Linked DNA regions of Stegostoma tigrinum. The protein of the gene in region 1 purifies or fractionates together with the protein of each later gene. This does not show direct contact. Links are inferred from orthologs where the notes say so. Each region holds a gene or a part of one and is shown on either strand. Other genes may lie near its edges.

The links.
Region 2: the proteins of polb (region 1) and lig3 purify together in Homo sapiens (affinity purification with mass spectrometry; 3 studies listed by BioGRID and IntAct, counting the BioPlex papers as one, with this or other methods). This does not show direct contact. The link is inferred for Stegostoma tigrinum from reciprocal best matches to the Homo sapiens genes POLB and LIG3.

Annotation. Positions count from the first base shown.
Region 1 is NC_081393.1:16,183,101-16,193,215, forward strand, and holds the start of polb (DNA polymerase beta), read left to right. Parts: upstream 1-5,116; 5' UTR 5,117-5,288; coding exon 5,289-5,349; intron 5,350-9,721; coding exon 9,722-9,775; intron 9,776-10,115.
Region 2 is NC_081380.1:10,338,761-10,349,451, reverse strand, and holds the start of lig3 (DNA ligase 3), read left to right. Parts: upstream 1-6,369; 5' UTR 6,370-6,678; intron 6,679-7,350; 5' UTR 7,351-8,013; intron 8,014-10,691. UniProt on the Homo sapiens protein: Isoform 3 functions as a heterodimer with DNA-repair protein XRCC1 in the nucleus and can correct defective DNA strand-break repair and sister chromatid exchange following treatment with ionizing radiation and alkylating agents.

The DNA.
Region 1 (10,115 bases):
ATATGCTGTCCTGAGATTTTCTCACCCTTATATCCTCATTTTTGTTGAATTAAAACTCATTCATTTTCAGGTCACAAAGCTATGGAGATCCTGAGTTTATGTTTTCTTTTTGTTTAATTTTTAAATGTAATTTGAAAGTACTCGATGGCTGTGTAATGCTTCTAGGTTGTCCTGAAGATGTGTTTAAAAACATGATTTCGTGGAAAGTGAAATCAGCTGTCAAATCAGCTTCTGTGTGAATCCCTAATCCCTTGCAAAAGTGATGGTGAACTGCAAAAGTCCATGTGGTGTGAATACAGCTAGAATTGTGTTTGCAAGAGGGATCCTAGATTTTGACTTGGTGACAGTGAAGGAATAGCTTCATATATGGTTCTAAATCAAGATGGTGAGTGGTTTGGAGGGGAACTTGCAGGTTGTGGTGTTTCCATCATCTGCTACCATTGTCCATATTTGTGGTAGTTTGCAAGTTCGGAAGGTGCTGCTGAAGCCACCTTGAGTTGTTGCATTGCATCTTGTCAGTGGTACACACTGTTGCCACTGTGTTTCAACGGTGGAGGGAGTGAATGATGGTGGATGGGCTGCCAGTCAAATGGACTGATTGGTGTAAATGCTCTTCATTATAGTTGGCAGCACCATCCAGGCAAGGAGAGAGTATTCTATCACATTCCTGACTTGAGCTTTGTCGATTCTTGAAGGCTTTGGGACGTCAAGAGGTGAGTTACTCGCCATAAAATCCCAGCATCTGACCTGCTCTTGTAGCCATTGCTTTTATGTCATAGGTCCATTTGTGTTTTTGGTCTGTAGCTGTTATTTGGTAATTGTGCCTGCGTGGTATTCACGGTAATGCAATTGCATTTCAAGGTGAAATTGTTAGGTTCGCTCTCTCTTGAATCTTTCATTGCCTGGACAAGACCAGTTTCATGTCATCATGTAAAAGAGTGTTGGGGCCAGTGGCTGTACATTTCTTCTGTCCCTCACTGCGCTTAATCATCATGATAACTGGTACCTGGTTATTGTGATGATAGCAGGCTTTAACAGTGGTTATTTTGTGCAGGTTTTTTTTGAAGAGAGGTTTTAAGGCGGGATATCGAGCAGTCTAGCAGAACTACTAGACTAAAGTGCATGTATGGCCTTGAGGTTTTGTTTTAAAAAGTTGGAACTCTAGGTAATTCAAGATGGAGGATGGGAAAAACATTACGGCTGTAGGAGCTGCTCCCTTGATGTATTTTCAGTGTTGGTACTGATTTCCTCAAATTCTAGGAGCAATAATTGCTATTCTTTAAGCTGTTCGATTGTTTTGGAACTTTGGGAGGAAAATAAAATCAAAACAATGTCACTTTAAAAAGGAGGAAGAGAGACAAAAACAGTGATTCAAATGGAGAAAGAAACTTACACTGCAGTTTGACACAGCAGTAACCTGCACAGCTGCTGCCTTTGCTATCTAGTATCTCATATCTCTGGACATTTGGAGTTTGTTAGAATTACAACATTTAAAAGGCAACTGGATGGTATATGAATAAGAAGGGTATAAAAGGATATGAACCAAATGCTGTCAAATGAGACTGGATTAATTTAGGATATCTGGTTGGCATGGACGAGTTGGACAGAAGGGTCTGCTTCCATGCTGTAAAGCTCTATGACTCTCATAAAATGTGTTTTGCTTTAAATCTGGTAGTTTAACCAAGCGAATTGTATCTGAAATGCAACACTTAACGTTAACCTTAAAATAAAAAAAAAGTTAGAGTTTAGACTATGTTCTGAATGTTGAGTTTTGGTCTGGTCCATAACGCTGCACACTTAAGGATATAACACTGCTTAGATTTACGTGCAACATGTTAATGAGGATGTAAGTTTCTAACTATTCAAGTCAAAAGCAAAATAATTCAGCAGGTTGGTTTTATATCTCTAATTATACAGTCATGGTTTTCATATTCAAAATGTTATTTCCCATTCACATTCCAAAAAAACAGCGTCAATAATGTTAGACTATATTGAATGTAAAATAGGATTGCTTGTTAGAAATGGAATTCCTCCGATCAACAGTTGCGCTACTTTGTCAAGTTGTAGTTCTCTTGTAACATACATGGGAACAGGCCAAACAGCTGCTGTAATCAACATAATGGTCCACATATTTATAATTTTTTTTGCAAAAAGGGACTTGATTCCGATGCAGCTCAGTCAGTGGAAAACAGTCTGTTACAGGAGGAAACTAGTTCAATTGTGATGAAAGTTCATGATTTCCTTTGGAGACTTGCAATCTAAATTGGGAAGGGCCTTCAGTTTCTTCATTATGTATGTTAGGAAGGACTTAAGTTTCATTTTTGAGTTCAGTGAACAGGATATATGGAAACATACGAACATGCATTTAAAGTAGGACTAATTTGGGTAATTTGGGTGGCATGGATGACGTTGGACCAAAGGGTCTGTTTCCATGCTGTATGACTCTATGAAGAGTTCAGTGCTTTAATAAAACAAGGGTGTGGGGGAAAAAGTGCTGTTGTCTAGCAAGAAGCTGCCCTATGACACAGGGAGACAAAGACAGAGACATAGACAGGAACCAGCTCTTTTAGAAAGAGCGAGCCAGGCAGGAGGTGTACAGGTTTCTGCAAGAGAAGACAGGTCTATGTCTGTAAAGTCCTTGTTAACCTAGCAGTGTGCAAAGTGGTGTTCGGAGAAAGATCTCGAGTGGTTATATTGTCAGGAAGAGAAAGCTCCAGAAACAGAAGTCTGTGGAATAGGAGTTTTAAAAAATCTATGTTAGGAAATAAGTGAAGAGCGTTAGCAGTTTGTTTAAAACTCTTGGGAAGAGGTAATAGTTGAAGAAGTAGCATTGAATGAATTCAGAAGTTTGTTGCAAAGAAGCCAAGTCCAACCACTTAAATGCAACAAGAAACTTGAAAATCTTCACTGAATTTTCACTGGACTTTGAATGTCTGTAAGATATTGTTTTACTGTTGAGGATAAAGGGCTGAATTGTTTAAAAAAATGTTTCACAGTTCTTGTATGTATTTTTCCCCTGTTGTGTGTAATAAACATTGATATTCTTTAATAACAAGGCATAGAGCTAGATGAACACAGCAGGCCAAGCAGCATCAGAGGCAACAAAAACAAAGTTGCTGGAAAAGCTCAGCAGGTCTGGCAGCATCTGTGGAGGAGAAAACAGAGTTAATGTTTTGGGTCTGGTGACCCTTCCTCAGAACCGATGGTGGCTGCGAAAATGTCAGTTTATATGCAGAAAATAGGGAGGTATGTGGGGTAGGGAGTAAACAATAAGACAGAGCCCAAAGAGAGAGGAAGACAGTTGGACAGACAAAAGAATTGCTAACAATCAGGCTCGGAGGGTGAACAGTTGTTAATGGGGACTGTTAGTGACTAACAACAGAGGGTGTATAGTGACGGGCTATGTGGTAACAAGGCCTGGTGAGTGGGGTGGGGGGGCTGGGACATGGGGGTGTTTAGGCCGTAAAGTTATTAAACTCAATATTGAGTCCAGAGGGATGTAGTGTCCCCAAGCGGAAAATGAGGTGTTGTTCCTCCAGCTTGTGCTGAGCTTCACTGGAACATTGCAGCAAGCCAGAGGGTCTAGGACTGAAACGTCAGCTTTCCTGCTCCTCTGATGCTGCTTGGCCTGCTGTGTTCATCCAGCTCTACACCTTGTTATCTCAGATTCTCCAGCATCTGCAGTTCCTACTATCATTGATAATGGGAATTGTAGATGCTGGAGAATCCAAGATAACAAAGTGTGGAGCTGGATGAACACAGCAAGCCAAGCAGCATCTTAGGAGCACAAAAGCTGACATTTCGCGCCTAGACACTTCATCAGAGAGCCCAAAACATACAGAAATAAAATTTATGGTTTATCAATTTAGGTTTCATTGGATAGATTCAAATCAGACTTCACAATGTTACCATCAGTTAGGATCATAATTCAGGACCTACTTCAGTACAAAAATTAAGACTGGTATTCCATGTTGCTGCACAGTTGTTGTATGAAATGTTAAATATGTTGGGTAGATATAAAAGATTGCTTTGCAGTACAGGGGAGTTTTCCCTGCAGTTTTGGCTAATTTATCCTTCAGCCGATATTGTGAGAATAGATGATCTAGCCAGCATTACATTGTTATGAGAACTCGATCTCAAAAATCAAAATTTTCGTGTGGACACTGTGGACAGAGGGCTTTAAAGTGTTTCTCCCATCAGCAGAAGCAAAATTAGTAAAGCTTCTGACTGACCTATACTGGTCTGAATCATCTAGTATACTTCAAAATGGAGCTTCAGGATCAGCAGGACATTAACTCTTAAGTATTACTTCCTCCCCTCCCCAAACCTCTTCAGGTTCTGTTTTCTCAACTGCCGTTACTGGAGAGGTCAAATGATGCTCTTCACAGCAAACTCAGCACTACCTCCTCGAGCAATTGCTGATGGGGAATAAGAGCTGGTCCAGCCAGTGCTGGCCACATCTTGTGAGTAAATTAATCTGAGGCACTGTTGGAAGCCCAGAAACATTGATATTAGCGACTCGGAGGAGTTTACTCGTGCTGAATCGGCCATCCAGCTTTCTGTCTCGCGAGTTAATGAGGCAGAGAGCCAGCAGAGAAGACGGGGGGGAACGGAATTAACCCCTGAAGTGGCCTGTTAAATGACAAGAACGCCCACGCCAGGAACCCCTTTCACTCTGATTCGACTACATTCTCACATGGAGGCATTGGCTATGGGATAATAAAAGATGCTATGTAAATACGAGTCTGACACGGGTGATTTGGTGATGGGGCGGGGAAATCGTTCAGTTGTGTGTAAGAGCACTTCTGGACGGACACACACACAATATGCAAGTCGTTTGAAAGGGTCGGGGTTGGTGATGACGAATGTCCTGGGGAAAACAACATGGTTTGAACAGTGGGGTGAGGAACTTTCATTGTCTCCACGGCCATTCGTGAAAAGAATCCTATAATTTCAATGTGTAAACGGAGCGCAAAATAAAGTAAATCAAACAATAATTGTTCCGGGATGCCTATGTTAAAACAACACGTGATTGTACATTGCCACAAATAAGTTTTGATGGTACCTGTAATCTGGGTGACGGTTGGGTCACGCGCGCGGCCGTTCGGGTTTAAATCCCAGCTGGCCGTTGGTCGCGCGCACGCGGCCTAGCAGCGCGGCTGAAGCCTGGCCTTTTCCTGACAGGACATCCCCGGGTTTTGGAGGGGGAGAGCCTTGTCAGAGCCGACGGTCACGCGAAGTGACGGCTAGCGTTAGGTTGCCTGGTTACTTTATCGTCCTTCGCCACCATGAGCAAGAGGAAAGCGCCGCAAGAGACGCTCAACGAGGGGATCACCGATTTCCTAATCGGTAAGAGGAAGGGAGGAAGAGGCAGCGGTGGCCTGGGATCGATGTGTCGTTCCGATCCTCAGGGAGAACTAGGGAAATCGGGTTGTCATTAATCGAGAAGGAATGTCAGGACAGTGCAGACCTTCCCCAGCCGGTGTTGAAAGCGGGCCTTACTGTTTCTCCATTTTTAAATCTTTGCAATATTCAAATTTTTAACCCTGAACCCAAAGCAGAACGTAAAACTAAACCCCAGCTAAAGCAGCTAATCATAATTCTAACCCGAAATCCATTCCCGAAATCGATACCTACCCTGATACTAATACTATGTTGAATTTTTAGAGCTACAGCCTGAACCCACTCATAAACCAGATGCGCACCATTTCCAAAAGGCGTTTAATAAAGTACCTCATTAGACTACATTTCGAGGAGTCTGTTGTTTTGAGATAACAAGGTGTAGAGCTGGAATGAACACATGAGGCCAAGCAGCATCAGAGGAGCAGGAAAGCTGACGTTTCAGGTCTGGACCCTTCTTGGGAAGAGTCTAGACCCTTTGTTTTGAGTGTGAATAGAGGATTGGCTGACTAACTGAAATAGAGTTAGGATGAGGGGGGTAATTTCAGGATAGCAACTCCTGGAGTATTGCAAGGGCCACAATTGTTTACAATATATGATACCAACTTGGATGCAGAAAATGAGTGTACAGTAACCAAGTTTTCAGATGATGCAAAAATAAATGGGAAAGCGAGTGGTGAGGATAATACAGTCTCAAGTGGGACGTGGAGAGATTACATGAGTGGGCAAGATCTCGGCAGATGGAGTGTAAGTGAGGAAACGTTTAGTTATGTACAGTCCTAATAGAACATAGAACATTACAGCACAGTACAGGCCCTTCGGCCCTCAATGTTGTGCTGACCTGTGAAACCAATCTGAAGCCCATCTAACCTACACTATTCCATTATCTTCCATATGTTTATCCACTGACCATTTAAATGCCCTTATAGTTGGTGAGTCTACTACTATTGCAGGCAGGGCATTCCTTATAAGAAAATCCCTTCATACCCAGAGTCAACCCAGGGAACCTTCACTTGACTGCTTCCAACACCAGTACATCTTTCCTTAGATAAGGGGATGAAAACTGTTCAAAATATTTTAGATGTGGGCTGACTAAAGCCTTGAATAGTTTTAACGAGACCTTTCTGTTTTTAATACTCCATTCCCCTTGAAATAAAAGCCAATAATCCATTGTGTTCCCTTTTACCCACTGAACTTGGACATCAGCATTTTGTGATTCATGAAAAAGAATTCCAAATTCATCTATTGTGCAACTTTCTCTGGTTTTCCCCATTTAAATAATATTCAGATCTTCCATTCTCCCTAGTTTGGCAAGAGGACCAAAAGAGCAATCTGCTGAGCTTTTCTAGCAATTTTTGCTCTTGTTCCTGATTTAAAGCACCTGCAGTTCTTGTGGATTTTATTTTTCATGAAATAATGTTATTATACCACAGATGGTGTCAGACCTGCTGAGCTTTTCCAGCAAATACTGTTTTTGTTTCTGATTTTTAGCATCTGCGTTATAGAGTCATACAGCACAGAAACAGACTCTTTGGTCCATACAGCCCATGCCGACCACAATCCCAAATTAAACTGGTCCCCCCTGCCTGCACTTTGCACATATCCCTCCAAACATTTCTTCTTCATGTACTTTAAAATGTATTTTAAATGTTGTAACTGTACCCGTATCCCCCACTTCCTCTGGAAATTCATTCCTCACATGAACCACTCTCTGTTAAAAAAACAAAATGCCTCTCAAGTCTTCTTTGAATCTTTCTCCACTCCGTTTAAAAATATGTCCCCAGTCTTGAAATCCTCCACCCAAGGGAAAAGACACCTGTCATTTACCTTATCTATACTCCTCATGATTTTATAAACCTCTATAAGGTTACCCCTTAACCTCCTACGCTCCAGTCGAAAAAGTTCCAACCTATCCAGCATCTCCTTTATAACTTAAACCTTCTGTTCCTTGCAACATCCTGGTAACTCTCTTCTGAACCCTCTCCAGTTTAATAATATCATTCCTGTATCAGGAGACCAGAACTGGACATGGTACTCCAGAAGATGCCTTACCAATGCCACATAACGTCCCAACTCCAAAATATAAAGGTCTGAGCAATGAAGGCAAGCATGCTGAACACCTTAACCACCCTAATTTTACATGATGCCAGTTTCAAAGAATTATGTACCTGATTCCTGGTTCTCTCTTTTCTCCCACACTACCCAAGATCTATTTTTAATAGTATAAGTCTTGCCTTTGTTTGTTTTACCTACCAAAATGCAACAACTTGCATTTATCCAAATTAAACTCTATTTGTTACACTTCAGCTCATTGATCCAATTGATCGAGATCCCTTTGTAATCCTAGATAACCACCTTCACTATCTGATATATCACCAGCTTTGGTGTCATCCTCAAACTTATTAACAATGCTCTCTGTATTCGCATATCAATGACAAACAAAAGTGGACCCAGCACTGAACCCTGTGGAACACCACAGGTCACAGGTCTCCAATCTGAAAAAAAACAGCCCTCCACCACCTATGTCTGTCTCCTGCCATTAAGCCAATTTTGTATTCAGTTGGCAAGCTCACCCTGAATCCCATGTCATCTAACTTAACCAGTTAGTCTGCCATGCGGAACCTCGTTCTTTGGTTTTTATTTTTTGTAGAAATGCTGAATATTATTTGAATAAGTGGAGAAAGATGCAGCACAGAAGGATTTGGGTGTCCTCACGCATAGATCCAAAATGCTAGCATTTAGATGGCCCAGTGGCTGGGCGGCTAGTGCTGCTGCCTCACAGTTTGAGGGACTCTGGTTCACTTCCACCCTGGGGAGGACTGTGTGGAATATGCACATTCTCCCCATGTCTGCGTTGATTGTCCTCTGGGTGCTTTTGTTTTCTCCCACAGCCCAAAGATGTGCAGGCTATGTAGACTGACCAAAGTAAATTGCCAATAGTGTTCAGGGATGTGCAGGCTAGGTAGAATAACCATGGGAAATGCAGGGCTGCAGGAATGGGTTGGTGGGAGGGGAGTAATGCTCTTTGGAGCATTGGTGCGGACTTGACAGACCAAATGGCCTGTTTCCATATTGATTCTGTGAAGTTCAGTGGGTAATAGGGAAGCAAATGGAATGTTGGCATTGATTTCAGCAGGAATGGAGTACAAAACAAGGACTTCTTGATAAAACTGCACAAGGCACTAGGTAGACCACACTTGGGATGGTGTAAACAGTTTGTTTATTTAAGGAAAGATGTACTGTCATCGGTGGCTGTCCAGAGAAGGTTCACTCAGTTGATTCTGGGTATGGAGGGGTTTTCTTATTTGAGAAGTTGTATCAGTTGGGTCTGTACTTACTGAAATTTAGAGGAATGGGAGGCTAACTTATTGAAACCTACAAGATTCTTAGGACAAATGATAGGGTAGATTAAATGAAGTTGTTTGCTTGTGTGGGTGAGTCTCTCACCAGAGGGCGTAATCTCAGAGTAAGGAGTCCCCCAGTTATGACCCAGATGGAGAAGAATTTCCTCTTACAGATAGCGAACCTATATCATTCTTTCCTGTAGTGGGTTGTAGAAGCCGAATTATTATGTGCATTCATTGCTGAGAGAGAGATTTTTAATCAGTGTGGACATTGATTATGGAGAAAAGGTGGGAAAGTGGAGACAAGAATTGAATGGTGGAGCACACGCAATGAACTGAAGGGTTGCTTTTGCTCCTCCATTTGAACTCCAATCTGAACCCTTGACCTAAACATTGTAAAAACCCTAAAGCCAATTCTGCACCCACCTCAATCCAAGTGCAAGCCGAGGCAACAGTGGACATCCCAGTTTTGGCAAACAGCTTTGATTTTTTCATGAAATTCCCATGGGTGATTGTTTTTCTAAAATAATTTACACCTTTTCCCCCCTTGCCTGGCATGGGAGAAACCACCACCATAATCCCCTTGACACCTTCAAAGAAATTGTCAGAACTGTTTCGGCGCTGACAGCTCGACTCTGTTTTTCAAACGATCAATGGTATAGATTTGCCAACTCTGTGTGGAAATATCCTGAGACATGTTATCAAATGACTTTCCATCTTCAACTGTCTCACTGGCAGACCCCTCTCACTCAACATGTCAGTCTTCATGGAATCCCAATTCCAAGGCGTAACCTCACAATCATGTGATATTGATGTTGTGTCACAGTGTCAGCAGTCATTGTAGTTTCATCAAAGTCCAGTCCTGTTCTGTTGGAAGTAGCCACTTTTACGAAATTCTCATGACAAAATCGCTGCAATCGTGTCACATTTTACAAATGCATCCTTCTGATTCCTGCATGTAATTTGTTTTCTAAAAGCTCATGTGCTGTCCAAATTTGAAAGACGATTCCAAAGCCAGAACATTACGGAAGGTATTGCAATGTGTGTCATTTTCATGTTCTGTTTTCCTGCATTGTCATGATCAAATGTGATTGAGTAACAGTGAAGCATTCTGAGCTGTTTAATTATGTGAGGGGCATGGGAATTGGTTGTCTTCGGTGGTGGCAGTATCTTAAAATGACAATTTTTTATTAAAATATATTTATTTGGAGTGAACAGGGAGGTGATGGCTTAGTGGCATTATCACTGGACCGTTAATCCAGATAATATTCTGGGCATTAGTTTCAAATCCTGCCACAGCAGATGGTGGAATTTGAATTTGATAAAAATATCTGGAATTAAAATCTAATGATGACCATGAATCCATTGTTT
Region 2 (10,691 bases), on another chromosome or scaffold:
GGGATCCCTCTTTCCAACCTGGCGGATCTCCTGGCTGGTCCAAAACACAGTTACTATGTTTAGATGCAAATTGATCTTTATTTTATTGGGCCTGTGCCTTTAAGCCTACTGATCTGTGTGGGGTGATTGTAATAAGGTTTCCAAAAGCTCAGAAAATGTTAATGTCAAGAACAATAATTAACTGCTGATAAATTTCTGCCTTGAGGTGAAAAGAACAATAAAGGGTTTGGTTTTCTATGTTTTTAAAGATAATTTCAACTTGTAACAAAGTATTGTTTGTATCACTAAGACTATTTTCTATGTTTCTAATTATGTCTGGATGTAACGTCTGTTTGATGACATCTGAAATGTGACAGATATGGCTTGGTTGCAAGGTATTTATTGTATGATACATACAAAATCCTATAAACAAAACATAAAATCTTATTGCACATAAGTAGCACATTTAGCCCATTTAACCTGTGCTGATTCCTTGAAGGACCTCTCCAATTTGTCACAATTTCTTGCTTTCTTCCCATTACCCTAAACATTTCTGCCCTGTAAGTATATATTCAATTTGCAGAGGGCTCTTGTCGTGCAGTGTTAATGTCCCTACCTCTGGGTCAGGAGATATGGATTCAAGTCCATTTTGCTCCGGAGGTATGCAATAACAACTGTGAACAGGTTGATTTGAAAATTATTATTAAATATGTTCCACTTCCCCAGATTAGTGTCATAGGCAAATATATTAATTTGCATGCAGGCTTACATTATTGCTAAACAATGTCCTTCCAATGGGGCGGCACGATGGTTAGCACTGCAGCCTCACAGCACCAGGGACCCGGGTTCAATTCCAGCCTCAGGTAACTGTCTGAGCAGAGTTTGCACATTCTCCCTGTGTCTGCATGGGTTTCCTCCGGGTGCTCCATTTTCCTCCCACAGTCCAAAGATGTGCAGGTTAGGTGGATCAGCCATGCTAAATTGCCCATAGTGTTCAGGGGTGTGTGGGTTATAGGGCGATGGGTCTGGGTGGGATGCTTCAAGGGGCAGTGTGGACTTGTTGGGCCGAAGGGCCTGTTTCCACACTGTAGGGAATCTAATGTGCTGTATAAAGCACATTGAACTTGTATTAAAAATTGCAATGATTTAAAAGGGCACCAAAGATTCTTAAACTACTGCTCCAATGCATTATAAATGCAGTAACAAAAAGTGAATTAATAAAATGAATGACTGCAAATACAATTGAACCACAATAGCACTTTGTACTGTTTTAACCTGTAGTACTCCTCAGAACTCACAGTGCAGATTATTGACTCATGGGGAAATAGAACTGGTAAAGCTGGTAGTGCTCATGACTTTTAATGAAATAATGAAAAATATTCTGTCATTGGCATAATTTAATTAATAGGCCACCTCTGTGTAGCCATCTAATTCAAGATGATGAACAGTCTCCCGAGACAAGAATGCCCAAAAGGAGAGCCTGAAGCACTGCATAGATGATCCATAGCTAGAAGTTCACACAACTGACAGGAAGGAAATCGCATAGGAGCTTCACAATGGAGATACCTGCAGGCGCTCGATTTAATACTTGAGAAAACAACATGCGCACAGCTCTTAGGGTCATCAGGAAAGAATTTAATCAGGCTGTGGCCTTCGCATTTTTCTGGTAGAGTCATGGTAGCGGTGACAGAGGGCCGGGCCTGCCTCTGGTAAGAAACTTGTTAAGAAAGCATATGGTGTTTTGGCTTTCATTAACAGGGGGATTGAGTTTAAGAGTCGTGAGATCTTGTTGCAGCTCTATAAAACTTTGGTTAGACCGCACTTGGAATACTGCATCCAGTTCTGGGCGCCCTATTATAGGAAAGATGTGGATGCTTTGGAGAGGGTTCAGAGGAGGTTTACCAGGATGCTGCCTGGACTGGAGGGCTTATCTTATGAAGAGAGGTTGACTGAGCTCGGTCTCTTTTCATTGGAGAAAAGGAGGAGGAGAGGGGACCTAATTGAGGTATACAAGATAATGAGAGGCATAGATAGAGTTGATAGCCAGAGACTATTTCCCAGGGCAGAAATGGCTAGCACGAGGGGTCATAGTTTTAAGCTGGTTGGTGGAAAGTATCGAGGGGATGTCAGAGGCAGGTTCTTTACGCAGAGAGTTGTGAGAGCATGGAATGCGTTGCCAGCAGCAGTTGTGGAAGCAAGGTCATTGGGGTCATTTAAGAGACTGCTGGACATGTATATGGTCACAGAAATTTGAGGGTGCATACATGAGGATCAATGGTCGGCACAACATTGTGGGCTGAAGGGCCTGTTCTGTGCTGTACTGTTCTATGTTCTATGTTCTAAGATGCCTCCAAGAGGCCGCCAACATCCAGACTCAGCAGGGAAGATTGTTGGTGATTGTGGTGTCAACAATCTCTTCCAACTTCATTTATTTGGTTGGCTATCTACCTGTGGTGGATAGGTAGCCATTGCCAAACTGTCCCGTCTTCAAATCACTAAGAGGCAGCAGTGAATTAGGTGGCGAACCTGATGCCCCAGGTTTTTCCTGGCCCCGTTTTAAAATCCATCTTCCTGGGCTAGACAAATTATTACCCATCCCTCCTGCACCAAACACTAGAGTTCAGAATCTGAACTGGCATGGCAGGGATTTGCTACCTTATGTACGAATGGAATGTTAAACTGAAGCTCCATCTGCCCTTTCTGGATGTAAAGATTCCCTATGCTGTTTCAAAGAGGAACAGGAAGGTCTTAGCCAATATGTAGCCCTCAATCAACATTCCCAAAACAAACTAATGGCTGTGAATAAAGCAAAGTTGAGATCATAGGTTATCATATTCTGCTCTTCTCTGCCTTTGTTTAGTTATGTCTCCATTTTTGCATTTGAAAAATGCAATAACCTTCACTGGAATAAAGCCATAATTAAACACTTACCTACTTATTCATACAACTGACAAAAAAAAGATTTTTTAAAAATTTTAAATTGGTGAAGAACACAGTGATATTTGATTTACTGGCTTCCTTTTATCCACTAAGTTTCTTGTTTCCTTGTCACTTAAGGGTATGCACTATTATTTAAAGGATTGTTCCAAAAGCATCTGCTGACTATGGCCCACCCCCTTGACCTGTCTGTCCTCCCTGGACTGAGCTATCCCCTCCCTACCTCCCCACCTACACTCACCTCTACTGGCTCCATATCCGCTTCTTTAACTTGTCTGTCTCCTCTCCACCTATCTTGCCTCTATCCATCTTCAATCCATCTTCCCCCTCTCCCCCTTTTCTGATGAAGGGTCTAGGCCCGAAATGTCAGCTTTTGTGCTCCTAAGATGCTGCTTGGCCTGCTGTGTTCATCCAGCTCCACACTTTGTTATCTCGGATTCTCCAGCATCTGCAGTTCCCATTATATCTGCTGATTATTTTTTTGTGACTGACGGCAGACTATTTGATCACAGGACAGGAATATCCCAATCCTCAACCAGCACATTCCAGAAGGTGTTAGACAGCAAATAAGAGTGGGAATCCTGAGCAATTTGATCTCACTCTACCCCTAGCTGAGACTAATTGTGGTCTACTATTGGTTCCTCCAAACAGAGATCGGGTAACTTGATGTAGACCTGAGATTGGACCAATGCCATTGCTAGTTTGTATCATCAAGTAATCTTTGTGTAAATCTGTACATAGAAACTTAGCTTCTTTTTACAAATGCCACAGGTAGGCCAGAGAAATCGCAATGTGAGAACAGTGATGCACATTGGAATCCTACCAATGGGTGGAGGTGAGATCTGACAATAGAATTTTATTTTGCATTATGACAGTAACCTGTAGTATATTCTATGACACATCATCATCCTTCAATGGGAGTTGTTATGAAGATATGCTATCAGAAATATTAATTTAGAATATCATTGTCTGGACATTTTTCAAAATCTTTGACTATTTGGAGAGAACACTTTGCAAGAAAAGGAGACTGACTGCAATGGGAAAATGTTTAATTTCCAAAAACTACAAGCTTCTTGGTTGGAGTCACTGAGTTTGCATTAGCTTCAGAAAGAGGCCACATATTGTATTTTTTGAGACTAATAAAACATATCAACACAAAAAGGATTGAACACAGAGCCAGAGAGAGAATTTAACTAGAGCAACAGCCTTCGCTATTCTCTGAAATCCCTCTCATCTCAGTATGAGAGTTGAAAACTCACTGGAAAATTCCACCACCACAAATGGAGAGTTCTGACAAGAGAATTTGAACTCAAAAAGTGAATTCAGTGAGCTAAAATTGATCCAGGAGGACACCCCAACACTAATTGTGCAACGTGACTTTGGCTTCAGACTGTCATTTGGACAAATTGTGAATAATTCTTTTTCCTGAGTTTAACAGTTCCTTGACCAAGGAATTTTGTAGGTAACAAAGCAGAGGATTTACGTTTTATTTCCCTGCCTTGAAGGTTGTTCATATGTATGTTAGTTTTCAACAAGGGCAGATGTACGTATTTGTATAATGTAAACTTTTGTTAAAAAAATCATTATAGCATTGCTTGAGCAAAATTATTTGGCAATAAATTATTTCTGGCTGACTTGATACTGAGTTAGATACGCTTAATCATAATTATTACCTTTGTTTTGAAATTCAAACTTCGTTCGGACAAATGAGAAGTGTGAAATAAGAAATCAGTTTACACCTCCTAACTGGATCACAATAGAAGTAATAGTTTAGTGTTTCTGAATTATATTTGTAGATCTGTACTCACTTCCTATTTAAGTCTAGACACGTGAGAAATGGTAAGGCCATATTTATTGCCCATGTCTAGTTTCAGAGTCAGTTGCCTCAAATTTCCAAGAGGTAAAGCAGATACCAAGGAAATAATCTGCAACTTTAACAAAATGAGTAATAGCAATCAGTCACCCAGTATTCAAGCCACCCAGTGAAAAAAACAGGCAAGGTTTACTTGAGTGATCAATGCACTCTGTGCCAAAAGTGTTCTGCCAGCCAAGATATACATGATTAAGAGTTTGCGGGTGACGGCAATTGTCTTTGTTCACACTGCACCAGATTTGCAAGCCACTCTTGATCTCTTCAATGCTACAAACAGGAGAATTAGCCTGTTCTTGAATGTTACCGCGGTCAATATAAATATCAGATTCAATTAGAATTTTTCTTCATGCCCTGCTAAACATTCTTTTTTCAACTCAATTCCATGAAAACTAATTATCATTTGTCTCATTTGCTACTTGAGGAATAGATTTGATGTATTTACATAGCAGCAGCTACATTTTGGAAGTAAAATGTCATAAAAGGCATTGGGCTGCCCTCAACATAAAGAGCAAATTCATAAGAGATAATGGGAACTGCAGATGCTGGAGAATCCAAGATAATAAAATGTGAGGCTGGATGAACACAGCAGGCCAAGCAGATCTCAGGAGCACAAAAGCTGACGTTTCGGGCCTAGACCCTTCATCAGACATAATCCTGCTTCTGAATTGGCAAACATATTTCAATTAGAAACAGAAAATGCTGGAGAACCACAACAGTTCTGTAGCACATATGGAGACAAAATCAGAGACGACTCTATTTCAGTTCTCTCACTACCTCGCTAAAAAGGCTGTTGGACCTGCTGAGTTTCTCCAACACTTTCTGTTTTCGTTTCAGATCTCTGGCATCTGCAGTATCTTTTAGAAATTGGATTAGAACAGGGATGTGTACATTAGGATATGGCAACATTTTAATTTCAAACTATGCTTTTTTTTAAACTCATTAGTGGGGTATTGCATTGCTGGTTTGTTGTCCAAACCTAGTTGTCCTTGAGAAGGTGATTATAGAATTGAATCCCCTACAATGTGGAAACAGGTCCTTTGGCCCAACAAGTGCTTACCAATCCTTGGAGCATCCCACCCAGATCCATTCCCTTATAACCTACCTAAACTACACATCCCTGAACACTACAGGCAATTGCATGGCCAATCCACCTAACCTACACATTTTTGGACTGGGGGAGGAAACCCACAAGGGCATGGGGAGAATGTGCCAATTCGGGCAGTCACCAAAGGGTGAAATCAAACCCGGGTTCACGTTACTGTGAAGCAACAGTGCTAACCACTGAACCACCATGCTGTTCCCAATGGTGAGCTACATTCCTGAACCACTGCAGTCCTTTTGGTATACATAGCCCCATAATGTTCTCAGTGAAGGAATTGCAGGATTTTGACCCAGTGACATAAAGGAACAGCAATATATCCTAGGTCAGGATGGTGAGTGACTTGGAGGGAACTTGCAGGAGCCGGTGTTCCCCTATGCAGTGTCTGCGGTCCTTGTCTTTCCAGATGGAAGTGGTGCTGAGTTTGGAAGCTGCTAAGGATCTTTGGCGAATTTCTGCAGTACATTTCGGTGCACAGCACACATTCTGCAGTGCATTTCGGTGTACAGCACACATTCTGCAGTGCAGTTCGGTTTACTGCTGCTACTGACCGTCGGTGAGGGGAGGGGACTGATTGCAGCCTACGCTCAGGGAGTTGTCGGGAGTGAGAGTCTCATGGTTATCTTGTTTCGATTTTGTGTCGGCCACAGCTCTTGAGGGAGTCGGGCCGCCCGGCACCTTTAAACGGGCGCCACGTCACAGCGGCTGAAGCAGGGACAAAGGGCGAGGGCCGGCTCTTAAAGGGGAGGTCTCCAGGCGGCGCGGAGAGCAGGCCGCAGCTTCATACCAGGTCAGTCCGAGCGGGCCCTGGCGCTACGGCCGGGGGTGGGGGAAGAAAACACCGAGCCTCGACCCAGTAGTCAGGAGAGGCCTGGCCCTAGCCCTCGGCTGAACGTCGTTCCCCCCGGGGCGGGGAGACGGTTACCACCAGAGGGCTTCACTCGCACCGGCTGGGAGCTGGTGTCTCTAGGCCTTGAGGCCTCGGGCCTCGATTTGGAGGCGGGTTCCGCTCTCGGCTTGTCCGCCGAAAGTCGCAGGCGCTGGCCCCGCGTTTAAACGGGACGGGCATCTCTTTCTCCCTCCCCCCGCCTCCCAAATTTAACCACCAAACACCCCACTCCTCCCGCTTCAATTTACAAACACGAATAAATATTAACTGCTACAGATAATGGGATCTGATCAAGTTCTGAAACTGCATTCACGGTATTTTGGTTACTCTTAAACTGGTGGGCGTGTATGTTTTAAAGCCCTTTGTTGGCAGCGTTTCTCCAGGATACTACAAAGTGTGTGGGAATGATAGCACCATGGGGCCAGAAGTCCGTGGTCACAAACCCAAATCAGGAAAGTCTGAGAAATAAACTGAGCTTTTCCTCTGCGAGGTACAAACCAAAAATAGGTTAAAGGTTTCCTAGCATCGGTGGCGACTCATCTAATTTAAAACTAGCCTTGTCTTTTTTTTCAGAAAGATCACATCGCTACAATTGAAAACTCTTGAAAATTGAATGCCCCATGCCCCTGAACCACGAAGCCGGGGTTATGTCCCATCCGCTCTGGACGTGTATAATAAATAACGTGTGAACAGGTTGCTGAGTAAATATCTAGACACTGGGAGTTACGTCTAGGCCGCCTGGCCTTGTGCTCCTGCCCTGCCATTCAGCAGGATCGTGACTGATCCTGTACCTTTGCCATTTTCTCCTGAGGGGAGAAGTCACCAGACCCGAAACGTTAACCCTGATTTTCTTTTCTGTTCTTTACAGATGCTGACAGACCTCCTGAGCTTTTCCAGCGACTTCTGTTTTTGTTCCATATTTTTCCAGCTTTCTTCTCACAATGCCTCCTAGTGCCTTTTAAAATTTTCAAATTTATCAGTCTGTGTTTTGAATATATTCAGTAATTTGCCCTCCACAGTCTGTGTGAAAGGAGCAGTATCTCCTCGGTCTGCCGTGTACGCGTGACAGTGCAGATACTGTGCAAATCGGTCAGAAATTGGCCCCTTTAAGTGCTGCTGGGGAAAGGAAAATTAAAGGTCGTGTGCATTCAAACACGAACAGCCTGTGAATGTTAGGAAAGCACTTTGAGGGAACGCTTGTAACAATATCACGGATGGGAGAATAGTTGGATAAAGGTTACGATGTTTATGAATTTTTTTAACCCCCCAATGCATGACCTCAGTGACTCCAACATTGCTTGAAAAAAGCAATATAACAATCTCGTGTAATCAGCTAGAAAAGCTCAGCAGGCCTGGCAGCATCTGTGAAGAAAAAAAAATCAGAGTTAACGTTTCAGTACTGGTGACCCTTCATTAGAACAGGAAGTTATGATTTTTTTTTCACCGATGCGCCAGACTTGCTGAGCTCTTCCAGCGACTTTTGTTATTGTTCCTGGTTTATAGCGTCTGCGGTTTTTTTTTATTGTGTAGTCTGCTTTGAGTTAATGCTTGTTGCACCCTAAATGTTACATATCGTGTCTTGCTCCTTTTGAAGTGTTTGTCAAGAGCCGGGCTGGAATTGAGCCGAAACTAAGCAGAAGCTGGTCCTTTTTTTTCTTTTGGAGCTTTCATAACTATGCACCAGGATATTAATGATATGAGGGAGCGATGGGAATGGAGAAACAGATGTCCAGTTTGATTATAAAATGTGAGGCTGAATGAACACAGCAGGCCAAGCAGCATCTCAGGAGCACAAAAGCTGACGTTTCGGGCCTAGACCCTTCATCAGAGTCCAGTTTGATTGCAGTGTGCACTTGGTTTTTTGCTTGGCCAGTTAGCTGCCATCCTTCCCTTCCTAGGTTTACTTCTATCGCTTTAATTCCCCAGTGAGTTGGTGAAGGTGGCATGAGCCATTGAGGTGAATGGCACTGAGGCTAAGCATTCCCAGTTGGCTGTAAGTGGTGGTGAATGGGCACATGATTCATTTAAGGGATAATATGATCCTGAGGTTTAAGAGTTGTTATAAGATAGATCTCAAGCTTAATAGCTCTAATTGTCCCAACATCCATAGTCTTCTGAGGGGCAAATTGCAAATTTTTAATACTCATTTGTATATGTGTTTTATGTTGAGAAGCGCGAACTGATTTTTCTCTATAAAGCCAACTCTGATTTTAGAAATTGTTTCCTTGTTCAGAGGAAAATATTTCCTTGTATTATCCTGTTGAATCCTTTTAACATTTTAAAAACTCTAAGCTAGGTTTTGGCAGCTTGCTGTATAGTATAATATGTTAAATTAAAGAATCATTATGATAAGTCAGCATTGAGGTATGTACCCAAGTCACCACCCTATAGCCTCTGCTCCATTACAAATAAAGATCTGTCCCATTGAAAATAAAGGCCAATATTTGTTCGTATTTTTGCAAGCTTTTTGTACCTATTCATTACTATTAAATAATTCATACACATTGGATTTCCAAATCTTTTTGTTTCTGTATAGGTCCACATTTCTTGCTCTTTCTTGGGGGGAGGGGGGAGAAAGGCCTCTTTCTTGAGTCCAAAATAGATGGCCTTGTACTTGTCTGGAGCAAATTTCATGTTCCATTGTTTAATACACCTTCCTACATTTGCCCCTTTAATAATGGACTGTGCCATGTTAATCAATTGGAAAATATTGACGATTTATGATGGTGGTTAATAGATGAAAAGATACCGTGGGTGATTTGGTGGTGGGGACAAACAAAATGTTCAGTTGTATGTAAGGACACTCTGGATACAAAAGAAAAAATGTTTTTTGGAACTTCTTGCACTACTTAAAATGTTTTTTCTAATTTAGTGTCATCTACAGACGTATAAAATTCTTTATTTCTTAAATCACTATAAGGTGTGGCCAATAGTTTCTGATCTCTAGGGAACATGTTCACACATTTGCTAAAAAGAGCTCTTCTGTCTTGTGAAATGGATCAGTTACCTGTTTTGAAGCTTGTTTTAGTTTAAAAATTGATAATATTCAAGTAAAGTTTGTATGAGAAAGTGTTATCTGCTCCAAATGTCATGTATGCAAAGGCTGCAACTGTCATGGGATGTCACTCCAAAACTGACAGTTTCAGGCCAGACCAAGTAAACAGCATGCAGGACAACTGAAAAGATTCTGTTCGTGTTCTGCTTGTGCTTCAATTGTATTATGTCCACTTGAAAGATAGGAAACATTTGACAAACGGTCCATCTACCTGTCTTATAAAGAAGTATCACAGATAGTTTGAAAGAACTGCTTCAATCTAGTGTTGTGATCTTGTTGTGAAGTGTTCAATTGCTGCAGCTTTTCCTAATCTAGTATCTCCCTGCTTCTGTTTTGCTTTGCTTTCACTTCACTGCAGCGATGACACTCCACGGTGGGAAGGGAAGCCCATTTTGTGCTGGTCTCTAGACTGTTAAAAGTTTCTGAGAAAGATGAAAATGCTGACCACTTCTTTCACAAAGAGTTATTTGTGTAAGATAATAATTGTGTTGCTGATAACATGCTGTATTCTTTTTGCTACCGTGTAATTCTACGATTTTAAATAAATTTGAGCTTTAGCCTGAATCCTGTGGTTCTAACATCATGGTGTTTACAGCCTGACGTTTACTTAAGGGTCAGCGTTAGTCTTGTGACATTGCTTTTCCCTTTCATATTCTGGATAAATGTAACTTTAGCATTAATTGGCCAGAAGCATGCAAGCAATAGCAAAACACTTGGCTTTACTGATATTTGGTTGCGAAAAAAATTGTTCCATGTCCTCTTGTTAATGGCAGTTGAGGAGTGACTTAACAGCTTCAGAATTTGTATGTGGCCTCAAGATGAAAATGATTAGTGTTTTTATCATCTTTAAAAGCTGACC